Linked DNA regions of Rhinolophus ferrumequinum. The protein of the gene in region 4 interacts with the protein of the main gene of each other region in a pairwise test. Links are inferred from orthologs where the notes say so. Each region holds a gene or a part of one and is shown on either strand. Other genes may lie near its edges.

The links.
Region 1: the proteins of THAP1 (region 4) and TCEA2 interact in binary tests that used the Homo sapiens proteins (3 or more experiments, as listed by UniProt). The two-hybrid records come from large-scale screens. The link is inferred for Rhinolophus ferrumequinum from reciprocal best matches to the Homo sapiens genes THAP1 and TCEA2.
Region 2: the proteins of THAP1 (region 4) and U2AF2 interact in binary tests that used the Homo sapiens proteins (3 or more experiments, as listed by UniProt). The two-hybrid records come from large-scale screens. The link is inferred for Rhinolophus ferrumequinum from reciprocal best matches to the Homo sapiens genes THAP1 and U2AF2.
Region 3: the proteins of THAP1 (region 4) and FAM133A interact in binary tests that used the Homo sapiens proteins (3 or more experiments, as listed by UniProt). The two-hybrid records come from large-scale screens. The link is inferred for Rhinolophus ferrumequinum from reciprocal best matches to the Homo sapiens genes THAP1 and FAM133A.

Annotation. Positions count from the first base shown.
Region 1 is NC_046306.1:142,606-149,728, forward strand, and holds the start of TCEA2 (transcription elongation factor A protein 2), read right to left. Parts: upstream 3,154-7,123; 5' UTR 2,995-3,153; coding exon 2,923-2,994; intron 2,456-2,922; exon of another isoform or gene 2,296-2,455; intron 190-2,295; coding exon 127-189; intron 1-126. UniProt on the Homo sapiens protein: Necessary for efficient RNA polymerase II transcription elongation past template-encoded arresting sites.
Region 2 is NC_046298.1:48,709,877-48,718,042, reverse strand, and holds the start of U2AF2 (splicing factor U2AF 65 kDa subunit), read right to left. Parts: upstream 3,154-8,166; 5' UTR 3,087-3,153; coding exon 3,038-3,086; intron 1-3,037. Other genes in the region: CCDC106 (coiled-coil domain-containing protein 106), read right to left, coding at 5,216-5,532, 6,160-6,372, 7,457-7,621, 7,719-7,826, 7,973-8,003. UniProt on the Homo sapiens protein: Plays a role in pre-mRNA splicing and 3'-end processing. By recruiting PRPF19 and the PRP19C/Prp19 complex/NTC/Nineteen complex to the RNA polymerase II C-terminal domain (CTD), and thereby pre-mRNA, may couple transcription to splicing.
Region 3 is NC_046284.1:60,758,754-60,766,648, reverse strand, and holds the start of FAM133A (protein FAM133A), read left to right. Parts: upstream 1-4,742; 5' UTR 4,743-4,963; intron 4,964-5,577; 5' UTR 5,578-5,647; intron 5,648-7,895. Other genes in the region: NAP1L3 (nucleosome assembly protein 1-like 3), read right to left, coding at 2,791-4,254.
Region 4 is NC_046287.1:57,931,417-57,938,940, forward strand, and holds the start of THAP1 (THAP domain-containing protein 1), read left to right. Parts: upstream 1-4,403; 5' UTR 4,404-4,953; coding exon 4,954-5,024; intron 5,025-7,524. UniProt on the Homo sapiens protein: DNA-binding transcription regulator that regulates endothelial cell proliferation and G1/S cell-cycle progression.

The DNA.
Region 1 (7,123 bases), on a different chromosome or scaffold from region 4:
GCCCCTCCCCATCTCCAACAACTGAAAAAGGCAGAGACTGTCTCCTCAGGCAGGTGTCTGTGCTAACCAAGGAAGCCCTGCGAGGCGCCCAGGGGCTATCTGGGCAGGGGACATGCAGGGCCCTACCTGCAGCAGGTGCAGTGTGACAGGCATGGCCTTGAGCTCCCGCAGCAGGTCCATGGCTCCCTCCTAGGAGGAGAAGGGGTATCTTCGTAAATGACATTGAGATCACAAGGCAGTGACAGTTTGGAAATCCACCTGGAATCAGGTGCTCAGGGAGGGTGGGAATGAGAAGGGAAGTGGCTATGCACTCAAGCCCAGCACCCACAGGTCATGCGACTTCTTGCCCCACACAGGACGATGGGGAACACCTTTGAGAGCCACAGCCTGGTGAAGGTGTCCGTCCCATGTCCTTTGCCAGGTGGGTCAGGCAGCCTCTTCCCAAAGTAGCTCACCTGTCGGCTGAGAGGGTCTGACCCAGGAACAGTGACCGCAGCTGAGGCCAAACCCTCAGGGCACCTCCACTCACACCACATCCACGCCCAGCATCTACAAGTCCCCACCCATTGGTGTCTCCAGGACTCAAATTACCCCTTGGCCAGCCACCCCCCCACCTGGACCACTGTCACAGGCCCCGCTCCCTTCTCTGCCCCTCCCCCACCCATCTGTCTCCTCAAAGCCCTCACATTAGCCGCGCACAAATGGGCTGCATCTCTCCACTCCAGGCACAGCTCCTCAGTGCTTGTGTGCCAAGCTGCTTGCCCCAGGACCTTTGCACCTGCTGCCCCCACTGCCACGGACGTATCTCCCAATATGTCAAAGACTGCCCTCCTTCCCTCCAGAGCTTTGTTCAAAAGAGATATTCTCAGCAAGTCCTCTCCCTCCTGCTTAAAACTGCAAGACCCCCCCACTTTGCCTTCCTCCACAGACACCTCACTTTTTGATGCACTGATGTGTTTTCGTGTGTGTGTCTCCCATTACAGGAAGAGGCAGACATGACCAACCCAGCCACCCAAGGCTGTGAGAGCCTTATGTCCTGCAGCCCAGGTCCTGGGAAGCCTTGGCCTATACCCCCACACACACACTGCCACCAATCTGGGTGGCATCTCTGCTCAGGCTACAGCACCCTCCTCATGGCCTCCAGCAAGCCCTGCCCCTGGGGCTGTGGAGTCCAGCCTTGGGGTGATCTCAGCAGGGACAGATGGTCACCAGAGCCCACAGCACAGTGCTGCTAACTGATCATTTTCACGAGGAGCCTCAGGCTTCGTCCTGCTCCAGACCAGAGAGGCCTAAACAAGTCCCTGACCCCCCAGGGGACTTGCAGGCAGTGAAAACACCAGTACTGCCAGCTGACTCCTCACCCCACAGCACCCCCAGTCCCCCCAGCCACCGTTCCTGCCACAGCTGCTCCCCTTCTTCCTCCCCTGGAGCTTCATGCTGGGCTCCCACCTGGATACCCCCACACACCATTCTGGTGGGCCCATCTCTGTCCCCACAGGGGAGCGGTCGTTTGTTTTGTCCCGTTCATGGGGAGGTGGGGAGTAGCTTCTTTCTCTGGTCAACTCTAGAGGTTAGTTTCCACACCACTGCTCAGCGCTGCCCAGGGCCTCCCAGGGTAGGAACACAATGGGGGGTAGCTTGCCGGATGAATGAGTGGGAGCCAGCCCCTGGCCAAGATCCAGTGTAGACGCCTGTCCGAAACCAGGGTCAGGAGGGACCCAGGCTCAACCCAAAGTTACCCCCAAATTAGCAGTACAAGCACAGCCATGGGGTGGCTGCGCAGGTCTCGAAAGCCCATGACTGAGCCCCCTGGACCCACCTCTGGGGCCACGGCTCCGCTGGCCCCAAAAGCAGTCTGAGGGGAGCACGGCTGGTGTGTATTGAGCCTCCCAGGGAGCCAGCCAGGAACACACACACACACACACACACACACACACACACACTCACGCTGGAGGCAGGTACCACCCACCAAGGATGTTTCCGTGTGAGTGTATGCAGTCGCCAAGGTCTGGTAGCGGAGGGGGGCTGGAACTGGAGCCACATCTGGCTGGCCCCTCGGAGACCAGGGCACAGCGACCTCCAGAGGCTCGCTTGCGGCACAGCAGGCACAGCTGGCCAGGGTCTCTCCCGACCTCCTAGGGCTCCTTTCCCCAGTGTCCCTGCCTGCCTACCCATTCCCCAGTTGCTGCTAGCTGAGTTCTGGCTAAAGAAGGGAAATAATTTATTAGGAAACCCGGTTCTTATGGGGCGGCGACAGAGAAGAAAAGGGCCCTCAGGACCAGGAAAGGCCTCTACCTGCTTGTGAAGATGACGAGGGCCGGGCCCCAGGCCCGGCAGAGGCAGGGGAGGCTCAGGCTCCGGGGCAAAAGCGGGCCAGTCTCACACTCTAAACTCTCGCAGGCAGAGCATAGGTGTGGGAGACCTGGGGTAGGGGGATGATGGGGGGGTGCCCTGAGGATGCCCAGGAAGGGAAGGAGGGAAGCACGGGGGCGAGCAGGCCAGCAAGAAAGGGCTGAACAGGCGGGGGCGTCGCAAGGCCTGGAGGGGCGGGGCCCAGGAAGGTCTCCGCTGGCCCGGCTCCCGGAGGGGCTTTGAGATTAGGGGACAGGAAAGGGGGCGGATCTCAGGCCTGCGGGGTATCAGCCTGGCAGCTGGGGTCTGAGTCCAGAGCGGGTGGTTGCTGGGACAAGGTCCAGGCCGGATCGCGGCCTCTGCCGTGGGTGCGAGGGTGAAGGGCAGGGCTGGCCCAGGGCAGGGTTCTCTGCCACCAGCGGGGTCTCCCCGCGTCCCGGGAGTCTCTGCCCGGGCGGGGTCTCGTTCTGCACCCCGGGTGGTCTCCCCGGCCCTGACGGGGGCTCGGCAGGCTCGGCGGGGGCTCGGCGGGGCGGGGGTCCCGGGGTCCTGGCGGCCCGCGCCCCTCACCGCGCTCTTCTTGGTCACCATCTTGTCCAGCCTCCGGGCGATCCGCGCAATCTCCTCCTCCTTGCCCATCATTGCCTCAGGGGCAGCGCCCCCAGCGCCCGCCGCGCCAGTCTCAGCCTCCCGACCCAGACGCCGGCCAAGGCCGTCGCCGCCGCCCGCACCCGCCGCAGCCGACGCAGCCCTGCAGCGGGCGGGAGACCCTCGGTTCAAACCCCCAGCCCCGCGCCCGCCGCGCTGCATCCTGGGACATGTAGTTCCCGCTCCCTCCCGTCTGGCGCGCTCCCTCGCCGCCCTGGACCACACCTCCCAGGAGCATGCGGGCGCGCACAGCTTCTTGGGAATGGTAGTCTTGACGCGGGCCGTCTCGAGGCCTACGGGCCCGAACGACTCTCAGTCCCACAAGCCCTCGCGCGACCGGGTAGCCCGTGGAGGGCGCTGCGGTGGCCCGTGGGGCTAGGAAGTGCGTGCTGGCTGCGTCGTGGACCACGGAGCCTCCCTCCGGACCCTCCGCCCGGGAGCGGCCGGGGGCCCGACTACGCGGAGCTGGCGAAGGCATTTCCCCTGCTCCATCCCCTTTAAGCCCTCCTCTAGTACCTTCCGCTGTCCGGGGGCAGCCGGACCATGACTCCCTTGCCCTACAGCGAAGTCCTGCGGGAGACTCCCTTGAGCTCTGGCCTAGATTCTGGCCTCTGAGGCCTCGACTGGGGAGCCTGAGGTGGGAGGGAGCAGTAGCTGGATGCGGAGTGTAGAAGCCAGAGCTGGGGTAGGAAGGTGCCAGGGCACTTGCAGGGGCTGCGTGGGCAAGGCCCCTGCCCCCGGAGTCAGCTAGTGGGTGTGAATCCCTGGCTGTCACTTCAAACAAGTCATTGACCATTCTGTGCCTCCGTCTCCCTGTCTGTGAAATGGGGATGTGTTCGGTGTCTACCTCACAGGGCTGCTGTGAGCTTATTCAGGGCAGGAGACAGTGTCAGCAATTTGCTGCTGGAGGTCCTTGGGAAGGGCCCTACTGCACTCAGCTGAAGGGATGGCCTGGCCCCGGGAGGGTTGAGGAGGAGGGCAGGGGAGCATCTCCACCAGGCGGGTACCACCTCCTCAGTGATGCAGAGGCTGGGTGGTGTGCTGGAAGGGGCACAATTCTGGGGGAGGGTAGAGGCCAGGGGACAGGGCCTACAGTTGTGGGCCCCACAGCCACTGAAATTCAAGCCAAGTAACTGAGGCCAGGTGGGAGAGGGGCTGTCCAGATGACGTAGGCTGACCATGCCTTGGACTCTGAGTGGCATTAACTAGATGCAACTGAGCTTCCCGGCAGCCAAACTGAAAAGCGAACCAGGGTAGGTTATGAGATTCCTTAGTAATTATAAGGAAAAAGTGTGGAATTCAAAAAGCAAAGGTTTTCCAGAACGGACGCCCTGTGACAGGTGAACACAGCACCTCCGGTTTACAGTCCGGCTCTGATTCTGCCCCTCACTGTGAGTCTGGGCCAGAGCTCTGAGCCCAGCCCAACCAAGCATGTCCTCGTGGCCAGAATCACCTGGTCGAAGTGAGTGTGCAGCCTCTGAGGGTCCAGCCACACACCCTTCAACCTCCCTCTCAACAGACAGCTGGCCAGCATCTTGTAAAACAATAACCAGCAGGAACCCCAGAGAACTCAACCTCTGAGATCAGGCTGCAAAGACTCAGAACTGGCTCCCCAAAGCCCACAGGAGCTCCCCGACAGGTGAGCTGGTTCGAGGACCACTTGGAGGGGACTCCCCTCATGCTGGACGCTTCCAAGTGCCACAAAGGATCCTGAGACACAGAGTTCAGCCACAGCTTCAGCAAAGGCTAGAGCACAGGGGAGGGAGTGTCAACCCAGATGATCAGCATGGAGCAGAGCCCACAGCCTCTACCATCTGGAGCACGGAGGTGCGTGTCCAAGAGACCTCAGAACAGCTTCAGGTCCCGAAGATTACAGCCAAAAGGAGAGGATCAGGACAGGCCTCTCAGATGCATCACTTGGGCTTTCAAGAAGGGTTTGTTCGAAACACCTAACTCTGGCCCAGGCGTCCACTGGAGCAGGGTCTGGGCCATCAGCACAGCCCCCTGGACAAAGAGCCAGTGTCAAGGCCAGTCCCCATGTGATCTCCATGGGACGGATAAGCACAAAGTGCTGGGGAGGGGAGCGGGCATGCAGACACCCCAGAAAACCAGCTTGAGGACTTACCCTGGCCCTGCATGGACAGCCTTGCGAGGGAACGTCTCCCACGCTCCCATGCAAGGGGCTTGGCATAAGGGACGCTTCTAAGTGTTTGGCTGGGTTGAATGTTTTAGGCCACAAAGGTGTGCTAGCGCGGTGACTCAAGCATGACTAGGGAGCTGGTTAAGAATGAAGACCCCTGCCTTTTGTACCCCCAGGAGTGCGAGTGGGGCCCTGGGGACTTTGTCCTTTGTCTACAGGTGGCAGGGTACAGAGGGTGTCCCAAGGGTACAGAGGGTGTCCCAAGGGTACAGAGGGTGTCCCAGGACGGGGAGGTGGGTAGTGGCCTGGAGTTTGTACCCCAGCCACTATGACATTCAAGCTGCCGAGAGGGCAGAGGGGGTCACAGGAGAGGTGCCATGGGGTCGGGGAGATGGAGACAGGGCAGGTCTGGGAGCTGAGGTGGTGGGCTGGGTGGGGTGGGAAGGAGACCCCGGCAGGTCTGAACTAAGGGTCAGGGACCAACCCCGTGCGAAAAGAATCAGTGGGAAAGAATCCTAGTGCTCTCAAGCGGAAGGGGTCCTTTCTTCGGCTCAGCAGGGTGGGCACTGACCACAGCACACACGAGCGCACTGCAGCGGGGAACTCAGTTTTCTGCATCACACATTTTAGAAAACACTTTGGTAACTGTTTCGGAGCAATTGGTGTCCTTTGTGACCCTATGAATTTCACTTTGGGCACTGCCCATTTTGTGGCACCAGTAAGGGCACGGAGGAAAGGAGGAGCCGTCAGCCCAGCTAGGGCCCTTCCCATGCCCAGCGGCAGTGGAGGGCCCAGGCTGCCGGCCCACCTTGGGCCCTTGCTCCTCTGTGAGAAGCCAGGTGGTCTCCACCTCCACAGCCTCCGGCGTCGGCCACGGAGACAGCCTGCAAGGCGCCTAGCAAATCTCAGCAGAGGCTGGAGGAGGAAGGAGACCAAGGCGCTGTGGAGCCCCAGGCCTTTGGGACCCACCCTGAGCCTTGGCCTCTAGGTGGCGGGAGTGAGCCATAGGCCAGCCTGCTGGCCAGGTAGCCACCACCCACCCCCTAGGGAGGTCCAGTGGGTTCCCACCACCACGGGGGAGTGGCTGGAGTGGGACTGTGGTTAGCCCTGCAGACAGCGCCTCACTCGTGGAGGCTGTAGGTGGGTCCCACCCTCGCCAGAGCTCAAGCTGGTGTCGCACTGGCCAGCCCCAAACTCCCGACTCCCCACCTTAGAAGTCCCTGGTCCTGGGGCCCCTTATGAGTTCACGATACCCAGAACCTTGCTCAGGACAGTCTCACCTTACCCCAGGCCCCTCAGGGACCTTACCCAACCTCAGGACTTCCTCCCCCAGACCCTCCTGTGCCCTCAGAGGGCTGCGCCCAGAGGGTGACAGAATCCTGGGTTCTGTATCCAGGTGTCACGGAAGCCTGGCCGAGGCTTCCATAGGGCGCCCAGCAGGGCTGGGTCCTTCCACATCCCACCCACCCCTCTCCAGGTGAAGAGACTCACTTCCTCTTTCGTAAGTCTTGGACATGCACACACCCACTCGCCCCAGTCACACGGGACGCGGAGGTTGCTCACACGTGCCTCACCGGGCACACGCTAACCATACACACAGACTCTCTGAGAACGTGGCCTGGGTCCCCTGCCGCATCCCCCGACCCCAAGACACCTAGTAGGTGCTCAGTAAGTACGTGTAACAAGAAGGAAGAAGGAAGCAGCAAGGGCATATGGGAAGGGACCCACATTTAGCAGCTGCTGCCGTGCAGGGGAGCCCCACAGACAGGCCACGGACTGGTCTCCCCTGACACGGACCCCCTAGATCCAGGCAGGGCCCACAGACCCTCCACCACTGCTGAGATGGGACCGAGTTGAGGGCCACATGTACCCCAGAAAAAGTTGCCAAGTCAGGGAGGCCAGGCTGGGTTTGGAGGCTGTGAGCTATGTGGACGTGTCCATCGAGGAGGGCTCCTTATTATTAGAGATCGGAGGTGGAAACGA
Region 2 (8,166 bases), on a different chromosome or scaffold from region 4:
GCACTGCCTACTTTACTTCCTGGGTTCAAAGACACCTGATTCCTCAACGACCCATCAGGCCCGTTACCCTACTCATGAACGTCACCAAGCTCCTGGGGACAGGAGACAGAATAGGCAATAAGGAGAGGGCCTCAGAATGGACTTTAGTCTCATCCACACTGCTGTCTTATATTTTTCTGATATGATTTAACAGGAACTTTTTGTAAATGTACCTCAATTCCAGAATCCCTGAAACTCAAAAAAAACATGCACCTAAGTAGGTAAGAGACACAGCAGCAAAGAATGGCATGCTTTCTAAAACTAGAACCTATGTTAAATGTTTTACTTGCACTTAATCTCTACTAATGCTTTGGGAATACCCTGCTGGGGGCTCATGTAACAGACAGGGAAACTGTGGCACTGGACAGTCACATGACTGGCGCAAAGGCTAAAAAGCAAGGAAGTAGTGAGCCTGAACGTGAGCTTTGTCACGTCAGCAAGTTCGGTAAAGCACCAGGCACACTCCTGAACTCAGGCAGAACACTCCGGGGTCTGGCTGGAACCACTAGTGACAATGGGATTATCTCCTTGAAGGCAAAAACATAAGTAAATCAAAGACTGGAAACATGAGCGGACACTCAGAGAGCCACGGGTAAGCACACAGGAGGCTCTGGGCCTCTGGCTCCATGTTTACAAGGTGGGCGAGCTACAAGCCCCAAGAGCCCTTCCTGCTGCTAAGGCTCCGAAACAGACAAGCAGGCAGAAAAGAACCGACACAGAGGAAGCAGTGATGCCTGCTGGGTGCTGGGATGCAGACCAGGAAATTAATTCCCTGGAGACACAGGTGCACTAGGCAGGGGCTAAAGTAGGGAGGAGGCTGGCTCAGAGACAAAGACCTACAGGCGGGACAACACGTGGGCAGCGCTTCCCCCTAAGGCAGGAGTCCTCCTCTCCCCCCACACACACTGATCCCGGACAGATAGGAACAGAAAGGAAGCTCTGATTGTTCAAAATACTGTTGCCACCTTTTGGGAACAGCTACCAACCCAGGGGACTTGTGAGGGCTGAGGGCATGGCCGCCCAGTACCAGGAGGGCCAAGCACTCAGGCAGCAAGCACATCTGCAAGGGCCTCAAGGAAGGGCTCAACCATCTCCACCTGGCGGTCCAGCCATGCACCCAGCCAGAACTCAGGGTCAGTTGCAGCTTTTCCACTTACCAACTATATAAAACCACGCAAGAACAACTAAACCTTTAAAACTTGGTTTTTTCTTCTTTAAACTAGGGTCCCTCTACCTCCTCCCCCCAGGTGTATGAGGATTTGAGGTTTGGAATGCACCTTCCCCAACTCTGACATCACCTCTGAGGGAGCTGATGACCTGCCTCTACTTCCTCTCTGTGAGTTTATCACACTAAGGATGATTTCACAATATAAAACACTGCTTGTTGGGCACTTAATGTATGCCAAGCCACATACCACACACTTCACGATTTCCCATTTAATTTCAGGTCTGCCTCTGACCAGACCTGGGAAAATTTTCAGACTTTTTGAATCTGTTTCCTCCTCTGCAAAAACAAGAAAATCATTTCAGCCTCACTGGGCTGTTACAAGGCTCCACTTAGAAAAACCATGCAAAGAGCTTAGCAAGGTGCCTAGCACGTGACAGGCGCTCAGAGTTTAACTGTTATCATCCTTATTTCAAAAATCGTGAAAACCATATTAATCAACAGACGACAACAAACAGGCACAAAGGAATTAAAGTAGCACACCTAAGCAACAAAGTAGCTTTCAACTCAGGTACGACCAACTTCCAAGCTTGTGCTGTTAAGCAGTACGAGTGAAGACAGACATGCGGAGGGCACTCAAAAACCGGGACTTCTTCCCCAGGCACTGTCTCCTAACGCAGCTACCCGTTACTCAACTCTAGGCTGGGTTCAAGGGAAAGTCCTGCCCCTCTCATTCGGCCAGCCAAACACGGGCATCTTAAGCCTCAAGTCCCTCCACCTTCCCTCAGCCTAAGTTTCTTCACTCTCAAAGCAAAACAGGAAGGTCAAGGAGTTTTTAAACGTCTAACGACTCTCCCAGTTCCAATATTCTTGGAGTCCCTCAACTGACCGGCACCCGCGTGGTCCCGTGCTTTGACTGGGCATCACCTACAAGTACTTGCCGCCCACCCTTTCCTACGGTACTCAACTGGCCCAGGTCCCCTTACTCTCAAGAGCCTCCGTTTCCCCATCTCTACGTTGAGATGATTTATGAGCTTCAGTCTAGATGCCCCGAGTTTGGGATAGAAGACGTGGTGTTTGTCTCTAGCTGGGGATACTGGGAACAAACATTCCACATTGTGATCGTCGCCACTGCCAAAGCCCGCGTGTACGCAAAACGTACGTGCGGGAGAAATACTTCAAGAATGCACAGGGTGGAAAATAAAACACAGGGTGCCCCTTTCACGAGGGAACCCGCGTCACACGCGGTGACCCGAGGCCCCCCACGACCAGCAGCCAGGGCGGGAACCCTGACGAGCGAGTCCGCAGGACACCGCGCAAAGAGCAGCCGTCGGAGAATGGCCGGCCCAAGCCGCCGCCTTGCCCGAGCCCACGTGAACGGTGGGGGGGAGGGGGGCGCTCACAACCGCCATTTTGGAACAAAGGGGGCGTGGAGACCCAGGCCACAGGCCCGGCCGGAACCGGAAGTGCCAAGGAAGCGGGAGTAAAGGGGGGAATCGCGGGACCCGATATATACACTCTCTTCCTCAGATTAGCAATAACAGGAGTCCGCAAGGGGACACCCGGGGCCCTCCCATCCGCGCCACCTGCGCCGGGAACCACGTGGGGCGCGGAACGGAACGTGACGCGCATGCGTGTGGGCCCGCGCTCGCCACCCCCTCCCGCGCGCGGAGGCACGCCGGGCGGTCACGTGAGCGAGTGCGCGCCGCGGGACGGAGGGGGGGGTGCCGCGCGGCCCTGAGAGGACGGGGAAGCGACGAGGAAAATGGCGGGGGACACGGAGGGAAGCCAAGAGCCGCCCCGCCCGCCGCCCCACGCCCCCGGCGCCCTCACCTTGCTTATTTTCGTTGAGCTGCCGCTCGAACTCGTCGAAGTCCGACATGCTGAAGCGGCCGTGTAGGCCCTGTACAGCTCTCGCCTCGCCTTGCCGCCCGCCCGCTCCAGCCGCTTCGGCTACTTCCGCCGCTCGCTTCGGCTACTTCCGGGCGCCCCCAGCGCGCCGCCGCCTCCTCCTGCCTAATCAAGCCCAGGCCGCCCGCCCAGCCCCGGCTCCACCCCTCTCCCGGCCGGCCCGCCCGCCCGCCCGCAAAGCGCCCCTCCCCCAGAGCTTGTTTCCGAAGCGCGTCGGCTATTTCCGGACTGTAGAGGCAGGAGTCGGGTGCGGTGTCTTCGGCAGCTTCCGAAAACACCCGAAGCGAAGGTTTCGCGGAGTTCCCAGGTTGTAAACTCTTCGGAAATTGTCTCTTCAACGTTCGGGTGTTTCCGTAGGTTCTCGCCTTCCTCTGCACCCAACCACCCTCTGCCCGCCAAAGGTTCGGCTTCTTCCGACAATTCAAAACGTCCCAGTCTTTCACTGCTTCCGCAGGGGCTCCCCGCTCTTATCCGCCGGCCCTATCTGAGCAACCCACTACTTCTGACAAGCTTAATCGTCCTAGTCTTCGGCACTTCCCGAAGGTTTCCAGCGCTCGCCCTCAGGCCCCGCAGAGATTATGCTAGATTCCAAGTTTCGGCTCTTTCCGGAGATTCCGTTGGCTCACTCCTCCCCACTGGCACAGCTTCGGCTCCTTCCGCCACCGCTTCGGAAAGGCCCCACTCACCGAGACAGCTTCGGCCTTTTCCGTCTGTTCTTCGGCTCCTTCCGGCTTGGGGAACAGAAAAGGGAGGGAGGACGAAGACGAGGTGGGTCAAGGGAAGGGATACGGGGAAGGGGCGGGGTCCCGGCTCCGGACTCCTGGCTCTCCGGGTGGGGAGAGTGGAGAAAAAGAAGGGCCGATCTCGTGGATGGCCTAAGAAGGTTGCGCGAGACAAAAGCAGCCAGCGGGGTGAACGGTGCGCGCAGCCGCTGCGGAGGTTGGTAGCGCGGCTTTGTGCGCCTGCGCAGGATGGAAGAGGAGGGGCGCGAGATGGCCTTCTGCACCTGCGTAGACGTTGGTCTGAGGCGCGGTTTCTCACTCCGCGAGGAACGGGTTCCAGAGCCTCCAGCACGCGTGCGCGAGACTTTCCCTTCTTCCAGGGAAGAAGCTGAATTCCCGACTGTTAAGCTGGGCCGCCTGGTCCTGGTTGCTGTAGCAACCGCGTAAGTGCGGCCGCCGGCAAAGTCGAGGACGCTTCCAGGAGACTGAATGTCCCACTACCGCCTCCTAGCGGGCGGTCGGAAGCCTCCTCCCAGAGGAGCTCCTCCCACCCTCCCACGCCACGGTGGCCGCCTGTGCTGGAGGTCATTGAGTACTGCCTCCTGCCGCCGCGCCTCTAGTCCAAACAGCCCAATGGGTAGTGTTCACTCCTCTTTTCCAGAGCTCTGCCCCTCCGTGTTCCCGGAACACAGCTGCTACTCCCCCTCCCACCAATGCCTACGGGGGTGCTAATTACACCCTGTCTCCCCAACCTCCCCGGTTTTCCTCCCGACCGCCTGCTTCCTGGAAGCCCCAGGGCTTCTGTCACTGTCTCCAGGGCAACGGCCACCCCCTCCCAGAAAGAGGCCGGGACCTAGTTTATTCCAAATTTTATCGTCTTTTTAATTTAAATTCTCTGAATAATAATCTGCTTCACGTTGACTGGGGGGTCCGGAATTAGGGTCCTCGGGGCTGGGGGCGGAGAACGGGTATGTACAGGGCCCCCGCCCCGTAGAATCCGGCAGTTTCCCCAGGAGGAAGGACCCAGTGAGGGCAGGAAGGGTGCCAGTGTTTAGGAAAGGGCAGAACCCAGCTCCTGGGCAGTGAGTAGCTCTTGGGAGCCTGGCTAAGTGAGGACCCCCAACGCTGGGAATGCAGAGGGAGGGGATGATGCTGGGAATGTGGGAGGCAAGGAGGACAGGTCTGTATAGAAGGGACCAGGAGTGGGAGTGGGGGTCTGCAGGAGGGAGAGGAGAGAGGCACACGCGGGAACACACCATCCACCCCCAGGCCCTAGCGAGGGCACACCACTCATGCACACACTCGCCCACGTTCCAGGTAAGGTGGAGGGGAAGGGAAGTGGGAGTCGGAGGGCAGGTCCCGGGCCAGGTGGGCGGGATCACCGCTTGAAACGGTAGGTGATGGGAAGCAGCAGCTTGCTCTTCTTGAGGGCCTGCACCTTCTTGAGGGTCTCGTCATCCAAGGCCAGGAAGCAGCGGCGCGAGTACTCCAGCAAACGCTCCTTGGAGGGGTCGAACTCACCCACCTCCGCCAGCTTCTCAGGGGCAACAATGAGCAACTCTGCGATAGGCGTGGTCAGCGCCACCGTGTTGCGGTCCACACGGTGGTGCTCAAAGGCCCGTGACATGCTCTTCAGCTTCTGGAAGGTGCCCAGGATCTTCTTGTAGCGGCAGAGGACACCGTCTGCGTCCTTCACTGCAGGGCCAAGGAGGGGTGATAGAGATACGGTAGAGAGAGACAGACATGGGAAGATACAGACGTGATGAAGAAATGGAGATAGAGGAGGTTGGAGGGGGTGGAGATAGACATGAGATGACAGATCCACAGGGGGAATTCAAATGTGGAGGAAGTGGGACAGAAATGGGAGGGCAGATGTGAGGACAAGAGAGATGCGGTGAGGGGCTCACACAGAGCAAAGGGACAGACAGGGACGATGTGGCCAAGGAGCCCAATACAGGAAGAGCAGGAGAACAAAACGGGAAACGGGAGGAAAATGCGGTGAAGAGATGTGAGAAATGGAGACAGGATTTAGGGGAGAGGAAAATTGAAGGAAGGCCGGGAGGAGAGGATGAGGAGGAAAATACAAACAGGAGAGCAGGTCAGAGGTTTGAGTTGCCAGCCACCTGAGCCATCGCCCTTCCCCTTGTTACTGATGTTCGGGAAGGTCTAGAGAGGGTGGACCAAAATGTACAGTATGAACCAGGACCACACATGAAGGCTGGAACCCACCAGCAGGTCTGGTCTGTTACAAATAGGGAAGGGAGGTGACACAGCAAGTCTCAGCCCAGAGCTCTCACACTGCACCCCGCGCCCCCAGCTCACCCCGCTGCCTCTCCCGAGCTTTGGGCTTCCCAAAGCGCCTCCGGCTAGGGCCTCCCTTCTGCCTCTGCCTCTTCCTGTCGACGTTACTGCCTTCTTCAGATACTCCGCTGATCGTGGAGGCTGCCGACTCAGGGTCTGAGGCCTCGCCCCCAGCCCCACCCCGGCTGTCGCCCTCAACCCGCCGGGGCCCAGGCTTCACCCGGCAGTGGTCCTCTGGAGAGAGGTGGGAGAGACATAACAAACACACATTGACTGCAGGAACAGGAGGGAGGAGGAAGTAAGAGGTGTGTCTGCAAGGTGGGGATGGAGGTCACATCGCACAGGTCCCCAGGAAGGGAGGCCTCCCAAGAAAACCGGTAGATAGGAAATTAGGTCCCTGCAAGAGATAGCTGAATATAGGACAGTAAGCTGGGATTTGGGGGTGGATATTGTGGGTTGTGGCTTGGGTGAGGATGCTCAGCGGACTCCTAAACTTGGTGGCAAGAGGTCTGGAGGACGAACCAAATGGACCAAGAGCAGACCGGGGACCTCAGGAGAATCTATGACTATGTGGGGTTCCCACAGTGGAGGACCTCCAGAAGAGTGGACTCAGGACACCCTAGGGGCAGGAAAGGCCTGGGGTGGAGGATTGAGAGCCTGAGAGAAATCTTAGGCTCTGTGTCTAGTAGGCTGGGAATGGCAGGTGCCTGCCTCCACCTAGAAGAGGGAGCGCTGAAGCTCTATGCAGGACCCCCAGAAGGTGGGCTGGGGGAGGTCCAGTGTTGAGAAAGTACAGAGGCCACTGGGCCTGACCATCCTGGGTAGGTTCCGATCATTGTGGGGAGACAACACTATGTCCCAGCAACCCAAGCTAGAGATGGTTCCAGAGCACAGGGGTCGCCAATAACATCAATATTGAAAGGAAAAAAAGAAAAACAGGCTCCTCGTCCTGGCTTTCAGTGGAATTCACAGAGAAGGATGTGGAAGCTTGCAAGGGAGCCAGTCAGGGGCTGTGCACCAAGAGAGGGAGTGTAGAGGCGAGATTCTCCAAAACATGGCTAAAGATTTGGCAAAGGAAAGCCCTCTCTGCAGGAGGGATGGGTCACAGGGTCCTGCCGACCAACAGAAGCAGGAATGAAGCTGGACTTGGGGTTCCAGAGACACCACGGGGTTAAAGGACACCATGGGGATGCCAGGTCCCCATTGAGCCACCAAAGAATGTGTGGGTGAAAAGGGTCCTGTGTCCCCAAAAAGAGCCAGAGCTAGGTGTCAGGGCCCAGGAGTCGGTTGAGGGGACAGCCTCATGGGGTGACCTCACCTGCATCCATCCGCGCAGAGGAGATGAACTTGTCCAGCTGACACCGCAAAAAGTCCCTCTCCTCCTCCAGGTCCTCGATGCGCTTCTGCAGCCATGAGTTCCGTTCCAGGGCCATGTGCAGCTGCGCCCTGACGCTGTTCATCAGGGATGCAGCCTCCGGAGGCTCTAGTGACAGTGGGGGACCCTGGTCACACCCCAGGCCTCAAGGGCCCTGCACCCCAGCTGACTCGCGTCCTTCCCACTCCCCCCACCCCCAGCTCACCCTCAAAGTTTCCCCGAGAGGGGCTCAGACTGTAAAAGAGCTGTGGGTCTAGGTGGGGCGACTCGTCGAAGGGGATGGAGATCTCAAAGGCCTCATCGTCCTTCTTCACTGGAGAGGAGAAGCCTGGGGTCAGCCCAGGGAAGTCCCCGGGCCCCTCAGACCAGCCCCCAACCACAGCAGCCCTGGGAAGGAGAGGGCAGAAGTGGGCAGAGTGGCTGTGGACCAAGGGTGGGGCAGGGTCCCAGCTTCCTCACGTGTCTTCCTCCGACTGTTTCGGTCATTCATGGCGCGGCCTCCGGCGGACCCGGACAGCTAAGCGCCTCAGAGGCACTGGACAGAGAGAACAACCCCAGATGGAGGAACACAGATGGCCTCCTAGGGACATCCAGGAGGTGGAACCCAACTCAGGACCAAGGGGGGAGGTGCTGAGGGCCGAGACTCCTGGGTC
Region 3 (7,895 bases), on a different chromosome or scaffold from region 4:
TTCCATATAGAAGTTTTAATAGCTCTGCTTTCTGTGATGTCTGGCAAGCACAGCATACACCTGATTTGGGAACTTCTATAGCAGTGAGCCAGGTACACCATATTTATTACAATATTTGTTTTGACCCCGGCATGTAAGTAAATCTGTTGCCATACCCATTCTTGATTAACAATTTAGTGGTTTCCAGAGGGTAAGGGAGGGGGTGGTGGTAAAAGAGGGTAAAGGAGATCAAATATAGTGATGGAAGGAGAACTGACTCTAGGTGGTGAACACAATGCAATATGGGGACAGAGCCAGGAGTGCAGTTTCCAGGCTCTTGGCCTCACGTGGAAAGGTGCTGGCTCAGGTAGTAAATGGCCATCAACTGTGATTGGATGGCCATCAGCTGTGACTAGTTGGCCGTCAGCTGTAACCAGTGAGCCATTGGCCACTAATATAACTGCCGTGGCTAAGATAGCAGCAAATGGGGGCGAGCAAGAAGATGGTGGTTGGCAAGCGCGGATTGCCGTTAGGATGTTGGGTTGCGGACAGTGTGGTTCCTGCTTCCTGTGTCTCCAGCCCAGCCGCCAGCAAGAATATAGTGTTATGACTCCCCTATCTATGGCTCCGTGAGTGTTCCTTTTTGGCCTCACCCCATCCTGCATTCTTCTGTGGGGAGCGGGACAGGAGACCCTGCATGACACCCTGAATGACAGCAATATATAGATGATGTATTATAGAATTATAAACCTGAAGCTTATATGTTACTAATCAGTGTCACCCCAATAAATTTAATAAAAAAATAATAAAGTAAAAAAACCCTCAGAAATAAAACAAAAGCACTTTCAAAAATTGCAATGGTATCATTAAAGGCAATCATTTGCTTCCTGATTTTGTATAAATCGTAACCTATATCCAAACATATGTGATTGGTTAAATATAGTATATCATGGCGTGTAATATTTTATGGATATGGGGATATTTTATAGATATGTAATATTTTATATATATGTAATATTTATAGATAATATTTTATAGATATGTAATATTTATAGATATGGGGACTATTGTTAAGCAGGAATAAAAGCAAGATAACGAAACTACATATAGTGGGATTTGGGAAAACTATTACGTAATTTTACTGCCTAGAGACCCAGAAATTCCCAAATCCTGTCTTCCTCCTACCACATCTCTTTCCTGTAAGGTCTTGAAGGAAAACATATGTGGACAGGGAAATGGCAAATGAAATAAAATGCCACGTTATTATTTATTTTGTGCCTTTGTGTCCACTGCAGAAGCTCTCTGGTAAACTGAGTTTAAGGGTCCTCCTCCTCACACTAATTTCAAATGAAAATCTTAGGATCAAATTACCTGGTAACCAGCTGCACAGTGCAGAAGTGGTGACAGGACTCTGCTACCTATAAGACAAAAAATAGCCACACTTGGGAGTATGACCACCTCCCTAGTCCAGGTGAAGCCTGGACCTGGGACATTTACCCATCCTGCTCGTCGAAGTGAAAGCAACAGTTTATATACAAGTCCTTTCTGGGGGAATCACTCCTGCCTTCCACCTCCCCTTTTTCCTCTCCCCACCCGCTCCCATCTTTTCCACTCTTCACCCTCCTCCCTTTCCCTATCTGCCCTCTCCCCTCCTCCTCCCTCCCTTGCTTTTTCTTAAACCCTCCTCCCATTCCCTTTCCCTTCCCAGCTTCTCACCTCCCTCTTCCCTCTCCCTTCTTCCACCTTCCTCCATGTTCCCTCCCCCTCCTATCTGCTTCTCTCTCCCTTGTCTGGTCTCCCACCCTGTCCCTTCTCTCTAATCACTTGAATGTGTATCCTCCAAAGAAGAGCTAAGATTTGGAAAATATAGCAGAATGTTATGAGTTAGACTTTTTTAAAAATTCCCTTTCCCTATTTTCTACTTTTTCTACAATAAGCCCTACTTTTTATAATTAGGAAAAAATGCTAGATTTTTATAGCATGATACACTTTATTTGACATTTATTTATTTTAGGTTGCAACTGAAGTACATGAAAAAATATCAAATGATGTAGTGATCATTTTCAGTGAAAGGCAAAGTAGAACACAGTACAAAAAATGTGGTTAGTAATTTAGTTTACAGTTACACTCTATAGGAGGAAACTTTTAAATACTATGTCATATTAACACTTCAGTGGTAAACAGTAACTTCAGTATGATTACATTTATAGACCACACACCGTCACATAAACAAGCTCAGTCACATCATATATAGTACTGATAGACATTCTTAAAAGTATGTTCATCTTTTTTCAAGCAAATTTCACAATGCACTGTTCTAGTTAATATAAGTACTATAGCAAAGTAATGAAGGCACAGATAGTGCAAGCAGATTTAAAGCCCTAGTCTTCTGGGCTAGAAAAAAACAAACACACACTTGTATTGTTACTTTAGTAACTTGTTTTGTTCAAGCAAATATTTGTTTGGGATAACAATTTTAACAGTTTTCACAGTTACATTCTGATAGGAACATGACAAAAGGATTTCACAAAAATCAAAACTCTGTAGCACCAAACTAACATGCTTCAGATAACGGACAGCAGTTTACAGGTTTTAAAGAATATTACTCTACAACAGGCTATATAAAATAAACTGACACTTAGACATTTTAAGACAGTATTTTAGACCACCAAGAAAATACAAAAGCACAAGGCTGTAAAGAATACTAGTGTTGAGGTTATAGGACAGGTTTTTTTTCAAGGCTATATAAACCTGCTTCGTTTCTGTCTGAAGTTTTGAGATCTTGCAAATTCTTTTCAGGTAGCTGGTTTTTTATTTTCGATATTTCCTGTTTCCATAATCTTTACCATCATCATAGGTACCTTTGACTTCTCCTGTATAGTAATAGACTGATTTCAGGATGACATTATCATGTAAAGTTCGACCAATTTCAAAGTCCTCATCAAGGATAGCATCTTCTCGTGGTTCCAGCTTTCCAATCTTAGGAATCTCAGGAGGGTTAAAGAAATTGAAGAATGATGCTTTAGGAACCACTCTGGGCCGGATTTCAATTTCTCCAGTAGCAGTTGTGCGACTCTGAGTGGTTGTCACCGTAACGTCCTTTCCTCTTCTCCAAATTATCTTACAGCCTTTGCAATCTTGAATTTCCCATCCCCAAGCAAAGAAGGGATCATCATGATCTGGTTTTGACTTTATTATATATGTCTTGGTCAGTACCTCATTTCTGAAGTATGGGTTGGGCAGAAAATAAAATTCAAATGTGTAACTTATAGGCTGGCCAGGTTTTGAGAACTTCAGGCTAATATCTGACAGGAACTTCAGAATGGGCTCATCATATTTCTGAATCCTGGGCCCCAGCTTGTCAACATTCTTTAAAACAGTTAGCCAATAGTCAGGGATGCCTTTAGGATCTTCTCTTTTAGGCCTTCCCTTACGAGCTCTTTTCAGATTCACTCTTTCTTTAGGCCTGACCTCAGGAACTCTTTTAGGAGCCTCTTTTACTGCAGCACTTGCCTTAGCCTCTGTTGCTTTAGGCTGTTCTTTATCTTCTGCCTTTGCCTGGGGAACTTCTTTAGGCTCTTCTTTTACTTCAGGCTTTGCCTCCACAAAATCTTTAGACTCTGTTCTTTCTTCAGCCTTTGCCTCCGGAATTTCTTTAGGAACCTCATTTTCTTCAGCCTTTACCTCAGGTTTTTCTTTAGGGTCGTCGTCTTCTTCCTCACCCTCTAAAGCAGGCATTTCACTAGAGCTGTCTTCCTGTACCTCCTCATCACTGCTGAACACCTCATCCTCTGAATTCCATTCACATTCTTCCTCTGTAGGTTCATATTCTGCATTGATGATTTGAAACCGCCGATCATACAGAGGCTTATTGAGTTCGGCATATTTTCTTTCGAGATCGTGAATTGCCTTTAAGAATAGGGCGTCTACCTTGTCACATTCATCTTGAATATTTCTGAGCGCCTGCACACGATTTCGAACTGCCTGAGGCAGCCGATCTACGAAATTTTTACCCGACGGAGCACGCCGCGCCCTTCTGGAAGGCCCAGGTACCCTCTTCTTTCTATATAAGTAGCTACGGCTGCGGCTACTGCTGCTGCCACTGCTGCTGCTGCGGCTGCTGCTGCCGCTGCTGCTGCTGCCGCCACTAGTGCTGCTGCTAGAGCTACTGCTATCAGATTCTTCCCCAGAATCACTAGACGAGCTAGCCATCATCTCTTCAGCAACCCCATGGGCGGCAGGTTCCGAGACCATGTTAAGATCCGCTTCTGCCATAGTGCAAGCCTGCAAACCTCTTAAGGTGGCGGCTACCGCTGAGACCGCGCGCCCAGAGATGGGCAGAAAATGACTCACGGATGCTTGGATGGCCCAGGCTCGGGATGAGGAGGCGGCAGCGGCGAAGGCAGCAGTAGCGCAGGGAGGGGCGGGGCTGCGGCGATCGCGCGGAGGTGGCGGCGGAGGCCTGACCCGAGCGGCGGCGGCCAGCTTCTCCTGGCGACAGCTATGGCGGACAGAGGCGTGCCGCCGCGGAGTGGTGCAGTGTGAGACCCCGAGATCTCTCCGCCGTTTACATCGCAAGCCCCCTCCCCTTCCAGCCCTACCTCCCCTTAATTTAGTTCCCAGTGTGCCTTTAGCTCGCACCTCATTTGTTGGGAAAGCTTGATTGACGATCGCTAAGCCCAACGAATGCGCAAACGCTGTGCGCCCCCTAGGCTCCGCCCGCCTTCCCAGATGCTTCTTGGTAGCTGGGGCACACACCCCTGGAAGACGTTTTATCCCTACAAAATTCTATCTTTATAGTTTTATAATTAAAAAAAAAAAGCTTAGATTGAGGTAAAAATACTAGCCATAGTTCCTGACAAGGGAAGAGGAGTATCCTTCTCCTGTCCGCTCATCCTGAATTCCCGTTTGATTTGTCAGGGGCCTCTTCACAAAAATCTGTTTTTAAAAACTTGGATGAAAATACTTCAAATGGCATCCTTGGGTAGTGTGATTAGGCTTTTTTTTTTAAATCTCTATCTAAATATTCTATGAGCATGTATTTTTACACTGAAAAAAGGGGGAGTCGTTTATTGGCAAAGGGGGGAGGGGCTAGAAAGCAGGCATATTGCATTCCACGTAGCAGTTTTAATAAGTGCTGTCTGTGATGTTTGGCAAGCCTGCTTTAATCCATCTACAAGGTTTGCGAACCCCTGTTGCCGTGAGTCAAATTACACCATTTTTACTATATTTCTGTTTTTCAGCTGGCATATAATACACCCCAGCCTTGCTGCTGACTTGCCACGTAGCCCTTCTCAATGTTTACAACAACCTTGTAGATAAAATAAAAGGGCATTCAAATGTTGGATAGTATTATTTAAAAGCAGAGGGTTTGCTCTATACTTTTGTGCAGCAGTTTTCAATTCTAGGAACAGAAGGATGGGAGGGGGGATTTGTGCTAGGGAAAGTGCATCATCTGTCAGAGTATACGTTACAATGTCATCTGCCACCCATTTGCTGCAAACATTGTGAAATTCTAACCGTACTCAGTATGATTTAGAAGTCCATTAATATGCAAAATGAAGTTTAAAAACAGGTATCTGTTATTTTTATTTACAGGATTCTTTCCTGCTACAGAGCAACTCCCTTGGTACAACCAAAAAGACCAGTGTTTACTTTTCATTGAAAGGTAAGGAACATATTTAGCCCATTTTTATGAATGACAAGAATTACCTATCTGTATATGAATAAATTCACAGGATGTAGTCTTTTAAAGACTTAATTGGAAGATAACTTGTTATTTCTATGAAAGCAGAAAAATCCACAGAGGTGATTTGACATACTAATGTAGAAAATAATTAATTACATTCACTATCTAAACGTGCTCATAGAATACAAGTAATAAATCAAAATATAAAATATAATGAATTATTCATTTCAAATAAGTGAAAATATGAAAGTTAGATGAACCTTTATGTTACTTTTTCATTATAGGATTTGTGCTTTGTCATATTTTTTAAAAGTTAGGAAGCACCTTTATTTTCTGTTTTGTAAATGAATTTACTTTTATTTCTGATTGTCAAAGGATATAAGCATTGTAAAGAAAAAATACAACTTAGAAAGTTCCAATGATAGTAAAAATACACAATCTTAACAACCGGATGATAACTGTTGTTAGCGTTTTCATGCATTTCCTTCCAGAAATTTATTTATACATACACACGCCTGCCTATCTGTATATACTGTTTTTCCTATGTGACGTGATATTATGTTTTGTAACCTGCTCTTTTATCAATTTATTGTGGCTATATTTTCAAGGTAAATGATCAACGTCTTATTTTAAAATAGATGCATATTCAATAGAAATATTTGCCTTAATTCATTTAACCAGATTCCTGTTGCAAGGCAGCTATTTCCCAACTATCTCTCCACTAACATTTTTTTCCAGTTATAAAAAATTAGTTCTGTATACCTACTATATATACTCGTGAAAATTAGTCATAGGATGAATGCCTAGAAATGGGAGTGCTGAAATGGTACGCTCATTTTATTCTTTGATACTTATTGCCAACTTCTCTCCTGAAAAGTTATCTCAATTTACAGTCCCACGAACAATGCATAAGAGATCATTATTTAATCATTCTGCTAATATATTTTTATGCCTGTCTCATGCCAGGCACATGTAGTAAAGGATGGCAATATAATGGTGAATAAAATTTACTGGGTGTGTATCCTTTCGTTTCATACTTTTAATGAAAACATATAATTTGGAAACAATAATTTAAATCAGTGGGGTTATGCCATAAATATTGCTCTGTAACCTGTTATTTTTATTTAAAATTATGGATATCTTTTTCATGAATGGTCTTATATTTTTATAGTACTTTAATGGCTTAAAATACACATTAAATTTTGTACCATCAGGAATTAGTATTTTGGAGTAAGCAGTGAGTTAGGGATCCAGATTTTTAAAATATGTATGTATTTTTTTAATTAGCTAATTTTCTTGGTACTGTTTATTTGATAATCTTTCTGTCTTACACTTACTTGAAATACCACCTGTATCATAATAGCTAAATCGCTTAATTTTGTTTCTGAATTCTCTTTTCTGATTCATTGGCAATAATTTTTCAGCAAGCAACTAATGAGGCAGTTTTTTTAATAGCTTTATATTTTGTGGAAATGATATACATTGAAAAGAAGACAGCTACTACAATTGAAATCCAAATAAATTAAAAGTAATTCAAAATACACTCAGAGGTGATCACTATTCACATTTTTAATGAATATCTCCAAATTAATTTGTTATTATTATGTATTTGTCTTAGATTAGTGATAAGATTAAATGTCTTTTCATGTTTATTGTACACTTGAGAATTGCCTATTCATATATTTTGCTTGTTTTTCCACTCAATTAAGAAAGAAATTAATTGGTGGTAAAATCCTAAAGGTAAAATATAATTTTGGCCTTGATTGGAGGCAACTGTGACTTATGATATTGGACAAATATGACTTAATTACAGCTTTTATTCTAAAATGATCTACTTAAAGGGTTGTTAAGATGCTTTTCAAAGATTAGTAATTAATCATTTAAACTGATACAGAAAAGTCTGGAGTGGAACAGGGAGAATAAAAAGAGAACACAGCTTGTAAAAACCTCATACAAAGATGATATATTAGTAAACTGTTCATATTTTCAATTTGAAAGTATTTTTTTCCCAAGCCATAAACTATAGGTGACTTCTTGTAACCACAATGGTCTACTTTTATTGTGCATGCATTACCTAAGAACCTAGTAACACACTTATTTTTATAGCTTTTTTCCAGTCTGTTAGTTAAATTAATTTTATAATGACAGGTGCCTAAAAGAAAATATGTCTTTTCTTCATATAATTAATTTAGTTTATGCATAATACCATATATATGTTTGTTTTTCT
Region 4 (7,524 bases):
AATGTAAGACATTTATCTCCAGCCAGCATACTTATGTTCTTAGTTATGATATTTAAACAAGAGTTTGGTCCTTTTATAGGAATAGTATATCAAAGTAACTTATAAAGGGAATTTGCTTTTCAGGAACCTGAGTAATATTGCAAACCTAGTAGCTTGATGCATTTCTGAGGAAAGGGGTTCTTCATGGCTTGAGTATCAAAGGCCTTAGGGAGGAAACTAGGAACACTTTAAATTTGACAAGAGAAATTACTGCTGGGCTAGAGAAACAGAAAGAACAAATTTGGTTAATCAGAAAACTTTTGTAATACTATTCTTAGGTGACAGCATATAGCCCAGGTTCATCAGGTCTTATGCAGAATGAGCAAATGTTGTCTGAGGTGATTTAACAGGAAAGTTATCTTGCTTTTTTAATGACTACAGCGTAAGTGTCTTGCGCTCTTCTGCAGTTTTCTGTTTGAGAAGAATCAAAACCACAAGTATTATGAATCCTAACTCTCTCAGGGGGCACTGCTAATTAGCAAACTGGACAGCAGGGTTGTCGTTGATGCCCAGGGGTGTTAGCTCTGTCACCTGCAATCACTGATAATCATACTGTCCATTCATGTATTAATGAGCCTCACTATATATAGATAGGGAGAAAAAGAACATCTGTCACAGTCTCAAATTAATCAGTTTAGCCATCAACTAATGAGTTGCTGAATAAAATATCAATAGTGTTTTCTAATTTGGGCCTAGGACAAAGCTGTTGCTTGTCATAGAAAACAATACTTAAATATAGCACATTATAATTAAAGCAATTTCTTGCATACTTTTCATTTTATTCTTAAGACAGTTATGTGAAGAAGGCAAAGTATTGTCTTTTTTCCCTTTCTTCCGCCTCTCCGCGCCCCAACTCCTGTTCAAGCTGTTGTTTCCCAGTCTAGTTGTGTAGGACACAGCTCCCTAATCCATGCTGGTATTATGAGCTTTGCGCTCCCCTCCCAGGCAGTCGGTCACCAGTCTTCGGTTGCCATTCTTCAGTCCGCCGCTCACAGCAGCTCATGGCACCCCAGCTCCAGGGAGAGTTGTTCAGTCTTAGCTGTAGAGGGCACAGCTCACTGGCCCATGTGGGAATTGAACCTGCAACCTCGGAGTTAGGAGTATGGTGCTCCAACCACCTGAGCCACCTGGTCGGCCCTGTCTTCTTTTTCATAGAAGAAATCCCTGTTATAGATGTTAAGGTTTTTGTCTAGCCACACACAAATAAGTGACAGAACTGATATTAGACTCTTAGTAGGACTCGTGCATGGGTTCAGATAGATGTGAAGGTTATTACAAAGAGGGGAAAGCAGGAGCGAAACTGGGGCTTTGGAAGTCTTTTGGAACACACTGGAGTAGGATAGCTTGGGTGCTCCTACGAGGAAAGGTCTAGAAAGATGACATATCAAGACTTCATAAACCCTAATTTTCTACTTCCAAATCAAACATCTAATAAGGTAGCATACTTCATAGAAAAGCATTTCAGCTGCAGTTACCAACTTGAAAAGCTAATAGTAGGAGGAGTTTGTTATCCCAGACTAGAAATGCATTTCCTACCAATTATAAATTTTATGTGGGGCTATGTAGCAATGTCATTTTTGAAAGGATTTCATTTTCTGTGCATGTGTTCTGCTTCAAGTGTCACATTTCTAGTTATAATGATTTATTGTAATATTTGCAATTCCTTTTAAAACTTGCCTGGTAGAGTTGTATTGTACCAACTTTTGTAACATACGGAAACACTGTATGATCTGAGGTCTTATCAACCTGAAAACGGAACATGCTGACATCTCAGAATTTTAGACCTGCTTACTATGCCATCTTTATTGATCCCTGATAATAAATGTAGAAAGTATCTGAGTATTTAAAGCAAGTAGAGTCAATCAGTGTTTTAAACATAATAATACTTCTATGATTCAAACTGAGATCATATAAATCAAAGCAACAATTTGGATTTTTGTAAACAATATTGTAACCTTCACAAAAACAGATGGTCCAACCCCAGGAACAGATGGTAACTTGGGCAGATCTGTGGGGAACAAGAGGAAGAAACAATTGTTCTAACTGCCCACTAGGAGAGTGGTTTCAGCTACTACAATTCTCAGCCTTTGAAAGCAACAAGGGAAGAAAGTACTGTTGGTCCCTGTGGCTGTGCAGATACCTACCTCACAGAGTTGTTGCAGAAGATTGACAGTTTGTTCAAACTTTGTGATTTAAGAGTTTGTCAAGAAGTTATTCTTTTGAATAAAAGCAATATAGCTAAAATTAAAAAGTACTTGTTATCTTCCTGTTTCTTTAATATTGTTTGCTTTCAAATTCCGAACTCCTGAAATAGTATTCAATATAATGGTTGCAATGGCTTTCTTTTTCATTAATGGACATGAAGTATTTTGTCACATTTCTAATTAATTTTGCTTAGGTATTTTTAAATTTAAAAAGTAGAAATGCTTTTGAGGAGAATTTGATCTGGGCAATCTATATTAATTCTGGACAAGGGTGGAATTGGAATTAAGAGATTAGGCCTGCACCCTGATTCCCCACACCTATTCCTTTTGTGTGTATTTGATAAAGGAAATGTACTTTCCTGAGACTGTGTCTCTTATGTTTGCCTCTCTCCCTTCTCTCTGAAACGAAATGTACTTCAGGCTCTTCCATTTTGCCAAACAGCAATCCATAAACCTGCGACTGAGTCAGAATAGGAAAGGGCACTCACTCAAAGTTTGAAGACCCTAAGACTTGTCTCCCAGGACCAGGCCAGTAGGCTTTAAGGGCTGTTGACAATCACAGAGATAAAGACAATCATTGAAATTTTGTGTTCTATCAGAACCAGCTCATTTTTATGGCATCAATATTTAAGCACTAAGTCCAAGACTGCAAGCAAATTTGAGGTGTTATCAGTCACTGTCATCTTTATCTAATTGCATCCTCTGACTCATCCCATGTCCCAGATTGGTGCATGAGAGGAGTAAACATTGTCAGAAAACACTGAGCATGTTTGAATACTTACTTACTTTTTAAGAGTAGTGCTATTTGGCTGTAGGCCTTTTGATGGGAAAGTAGTATGTGACATAAGAGAGGGTTAAGGGCTAACGATGTTTTAAACTCACTTGATACGTAATAGTTTAGATTTCAATGTTTTAAAACACAAAGTTAAAAACTACTTAAAAATACCTGATATTCAGATCAAAACATTCACCCTTCTAATCGGTGCTAGAGAAAACCTGGAATTTCTAGCTACATGAAAATCTTGTTTCACTAATCCTAGAATATTAACGTTGTAAGGGTCCTTACAAATTGGCTAGTTTTTGTATTTTCTCTGAAAATCAGGTGAAAGCTATGGATAGCTCCCCAGAAGAATGCATACATACACATGTATGTATAATTTCAATTTATTTTCAGGGGATTCAAGAACTGACCATTCATGGATTCAAAATTAAGAATTCCTCATTTCATGCTACAGCCTTACTCCACAGATGAAGATAATGAGACCCATAGAGAATGAATGCTAGAGTATCTTTTTAAATAAAAATTGTTTATAGAAAAAGAAAGCATAGTTGGGTAGAAATTAAAACCTAAACTTAGATATTAGTGTGTTCAAAAACATCTTTAGCCCTCTCCTATGTCAAAACAAGGGTCTTATTTTTCCTCAGTTTATTAAACAAGACAAAGTTTACCTTTCTAGAATAATTGTAACAAAACTTTTTTAATATCAAGGGTGACATCTTTTTTCCTTAAAAAGTGTTATATTAGTAAATAATTATCTCTTGGCCTTTCAAGACTTTGAAAAACATCAAACTTCCAATTAACCTTCTTCAGTTTATCCCTATTGTCTTTCACTTAAATGGGCAAATGAAGAGAACAAATGAACACAAACATCGCTCATTCTCTAATAAAAGGCAGTCCTGCATATTTTGTGCGGCTCATTTGCTTAGTAAGCTGTTTTATTAAAGTACAAAAAACACCGTTTTACAAATAAATAAGGGTCAGATAATTATAAAGTGGTAATTAGTTTAACCATCACTTCAGTCAAGACACATTACCACCATCCCATAAGCCCCCTTCATTGCCTCTCCCCCAAAGTAACCTCTTCTCACTTTAGTTTTACCTAAAAGGATCGTATATTTTATTTGACTTATTCATGTAAGAACCACCTATATTGTATTAGTCATAGCTTCTTTGATTGCTGTATAGTAGTCTACTATATGACGATACAATTTATTCATTCAGTAATGGACCTTTGTGTTGTTTCCATCAATATTTTTACAAATCATATACAATCAGTTCAGTAATGGACCTTTGTGTTGTTTCCATCAACATTTTTACAAATCATATACAATCAGTGGCTGCCCTTTTAAAAAAATGGGCGCAATTACCCAACGACCTCAGCTTTACACCTGTCCTCCTTTAGGCCAGCAGACCCAACAGACCGTATTGTTCTCCACGCTAAACCCCCAGATAAATTAACTCAAGAAAAGGATGGCCGCGGAGCCCGATCCGGGTTCACGTTCCGGTCCCCTCGCCTCTACTCCCAGGCTGTTTCTTTCTTCCTTCCGGAAGCTTTCTTCTCCCGCCCACTTCCGCAACGCTGAGCCCGCCGGGCAACACGCCGGGTCTCAGCCAATCGTCTGCTTCTCAGGGAACGTTACCTCTGACCTCAGGGCTAATCACAGACGGTAGGACGAACTCCTCGCGAGAAGTGAGGTTGAAGCTGCCTTCGCCATCTTGGAGATGGGAGTGGGGAGATGGCTGTGGTCCTCTTGCTACTGGAAATAACAAAACGGGCACATTAGTCACTTCCGAGTGAAGCTATCTTCACCTAACTGTTGGCCAAAGCTACAGAAGAAGTGAGGGTGTCAAAGCCGACCGCAGCGACACTGATAGCAGCTTCACCTGCCAGCTGCGGCGGCAGAAGTGAAGCGACGGAGGACCGAAAGGATGGTGCAGTCCTGCTCCGCCTACGGCTGCAAGAACCGATACGATAAGGATAAGCCCGTTTCTTTCCACAAGTAAGTACCCTTCGCGCCTCGCGGGACTGGCCCCAGCTCGGGCTGGGGGCGCGCGTCCGTTCAGGTTCGGGGGCGGAGCCAGGCGCGTGTCCGCGCGAGACCTAACGAGAGGGGCGGAGGCAGGGGCGGGGCGCGGCCGGGCGTTCCTCCGGTGCTATTCCAGGCGGGGAAGCGGTGGGCGTGCCCGCTTGTGATCTAAGCCCGCGCCGGGTAGCCCCGGGCTGCGCGATCTCGGCGCGCGTAGCCGTAGTGATCGTTTCTCGAGTTTGAGGATCCACTCCGGTGCGAGGTTTGCTCGCTGCCTGGGGTTGGCGAGTTTCGGACCCGCGAGCAATTCCAAGCGAGTCCCTGCGGGTTGTGAGGTCTCCAGACCGCGAGGCATCTGGATTTCACTACCAGGTCATAGAGAAGCCAGGTGGTAATAACTCTTTAGAAATAAATTTGAAATAGAAACAGAGACCTTTAAAAAGAAGTCATTCTTTTCATCCTTGCTGTGGATGTTAGGCCCAGCATCACTATGGATTGATTTTTGGCCAGGATTTCAGGGAGGATGTTTTTGACCCAGTTTCTAGGAATCAACCATTAAGGATCTCTTACGTTTTAGAGACCGTTTCTAGTGCTGCTAAGATGAAGAGTATATGTTTTCAGCACACTGTGATGATAACATGGACAATAATAATACGGACCATGATAAAGTGCTATGATAAAGGTCAATGTGAGCTATTGTGGGTGCACAGAGGAAGCCCGTAGAATAGAACCTACCCCACAGCCTTCAGGACTGTTTTATGCTGAAGGTGCTGGCAATTAGAGTCCTAGAGGGAAAATGTTTTCTTGAAAAGAAAACCGCAAAATGGAAATGACTTAATGATAAATACCTGCAAAATGTGCGAGGTGACACGATAGCATTTTCATTCAACCAAATTCTACAGTATTTACAAGTTTTATTATGTTTACGTCAAATTTTTGCAAGAATTTTCTGCTGTAAATGATGACAGCTAAGAAATTAGAACCAGTGGTGAATTACATGAATTACTCATAGCTAAATAGTTACAATAGCACAATTTTAAATATCAGGTTTTTATTTGGTGGAAGTCATTTATGTTTAAAAGCAGATGTGGATGCATTTTTTACATTCTTGATATAATACAAGAGGGACCATACAGAAATAAGAGTGCCTAGAGCATAGATGTTGAGTGTTGATTTTTTCCTCTCTTCTGAGAAGGAGCTAGAACATTTACCACTTCTAGGATTCAGTTCATTATATCCTAATATTACCTCTTGAATTACTGGAATTTCTGAAAGCTGATGAATTGACCTTTCCAGGACTTTGAAAGTGTAGGAATAGGTCAGGAGGTTGTAACACAATCACACGGGTTCAGCTCCCCGCCTCCCTGTTTCTCATGATGTTTCAAAGGGAATCTGAAAATATGGAAAATCCTTCATTGACACTGCAAACTAAAAGATGACATTCACTCATCAGAATTACTGAGTTTCTGCTGGCTGTTAAACAATTCATTCAACCAAAAGAAGGGCTAACCCTGTGCATTTCATCCCTTAGCTAAAAGAACAGTTTTTGAGGAGTAGATAGGAAAGATTTTGATAAAACCTCACAAACAACCTGAGCACTTGTAGTGCTTGAGTCAGAAGGCCCTATATGCTAAATTTTACCAATGATTGCTACCATACTTTGCACTGGTAGAGGCCGTTTCTAGCCAGAATCTTCTAGGAGTACTTCTTTCCCCAGTTTCTACATGGTGGCAGTGGGAAGAGCTATGCCAGGCAAAGAAAAGGGACTTTCGTAAAGATTGGTTAGATCTTCATGATAATAACAGAGTAAGGTTCTAGCATACCTTACATGGGAAAAACTGGAACATAAATTGGAAACATCCTTCTTTGGCTTCTTTCCAGTCCCCCCCAGCTTATTAAATCCTTGACCTGGAAAAATAAAATCACAATAAATTTAAACTCTTCCTACGTCCCTTTATCTGGCCTACTGGACATATTCCAGTAGATAAAGAGGTAAATCAAAATGAGTTTTTAAATTCTTTAATGATTTAAGTATATAATTTGATTATTCCTTTTTGTCAGACTGATTCTAAGAGAACTAGAAGCTTCCTATTCTCAGTATTTAGATAATAAACAGGCAATTTTGTTTTACAGTACACAGAAAATTACTGGTAAAAAAAATACAGATTCACCCTATAGTATACATTTTATTTGAAACTTTTAGTGTCTTCAATGTAAAAATTTAAACAATAATAAATGAGATAGATAAGAGAATTACACGATTTACCCATGTGTATTTAGAAGTGTGTGGAATACCGTGTTTCCCTGAAAATAAGACTGGGTCTTATATTAAGTTGTGCTCCGAAAGACGCATTAGGGCTTATGTCCAGGGTATGTCATCTTGAAAAATCATGCAAGGGCTTATTTTCTGGTTAGGTCTTGTTTTCAGGGAAACATGATACCTGCATTTGTTATTGAAAGTTTTTTTACTCTA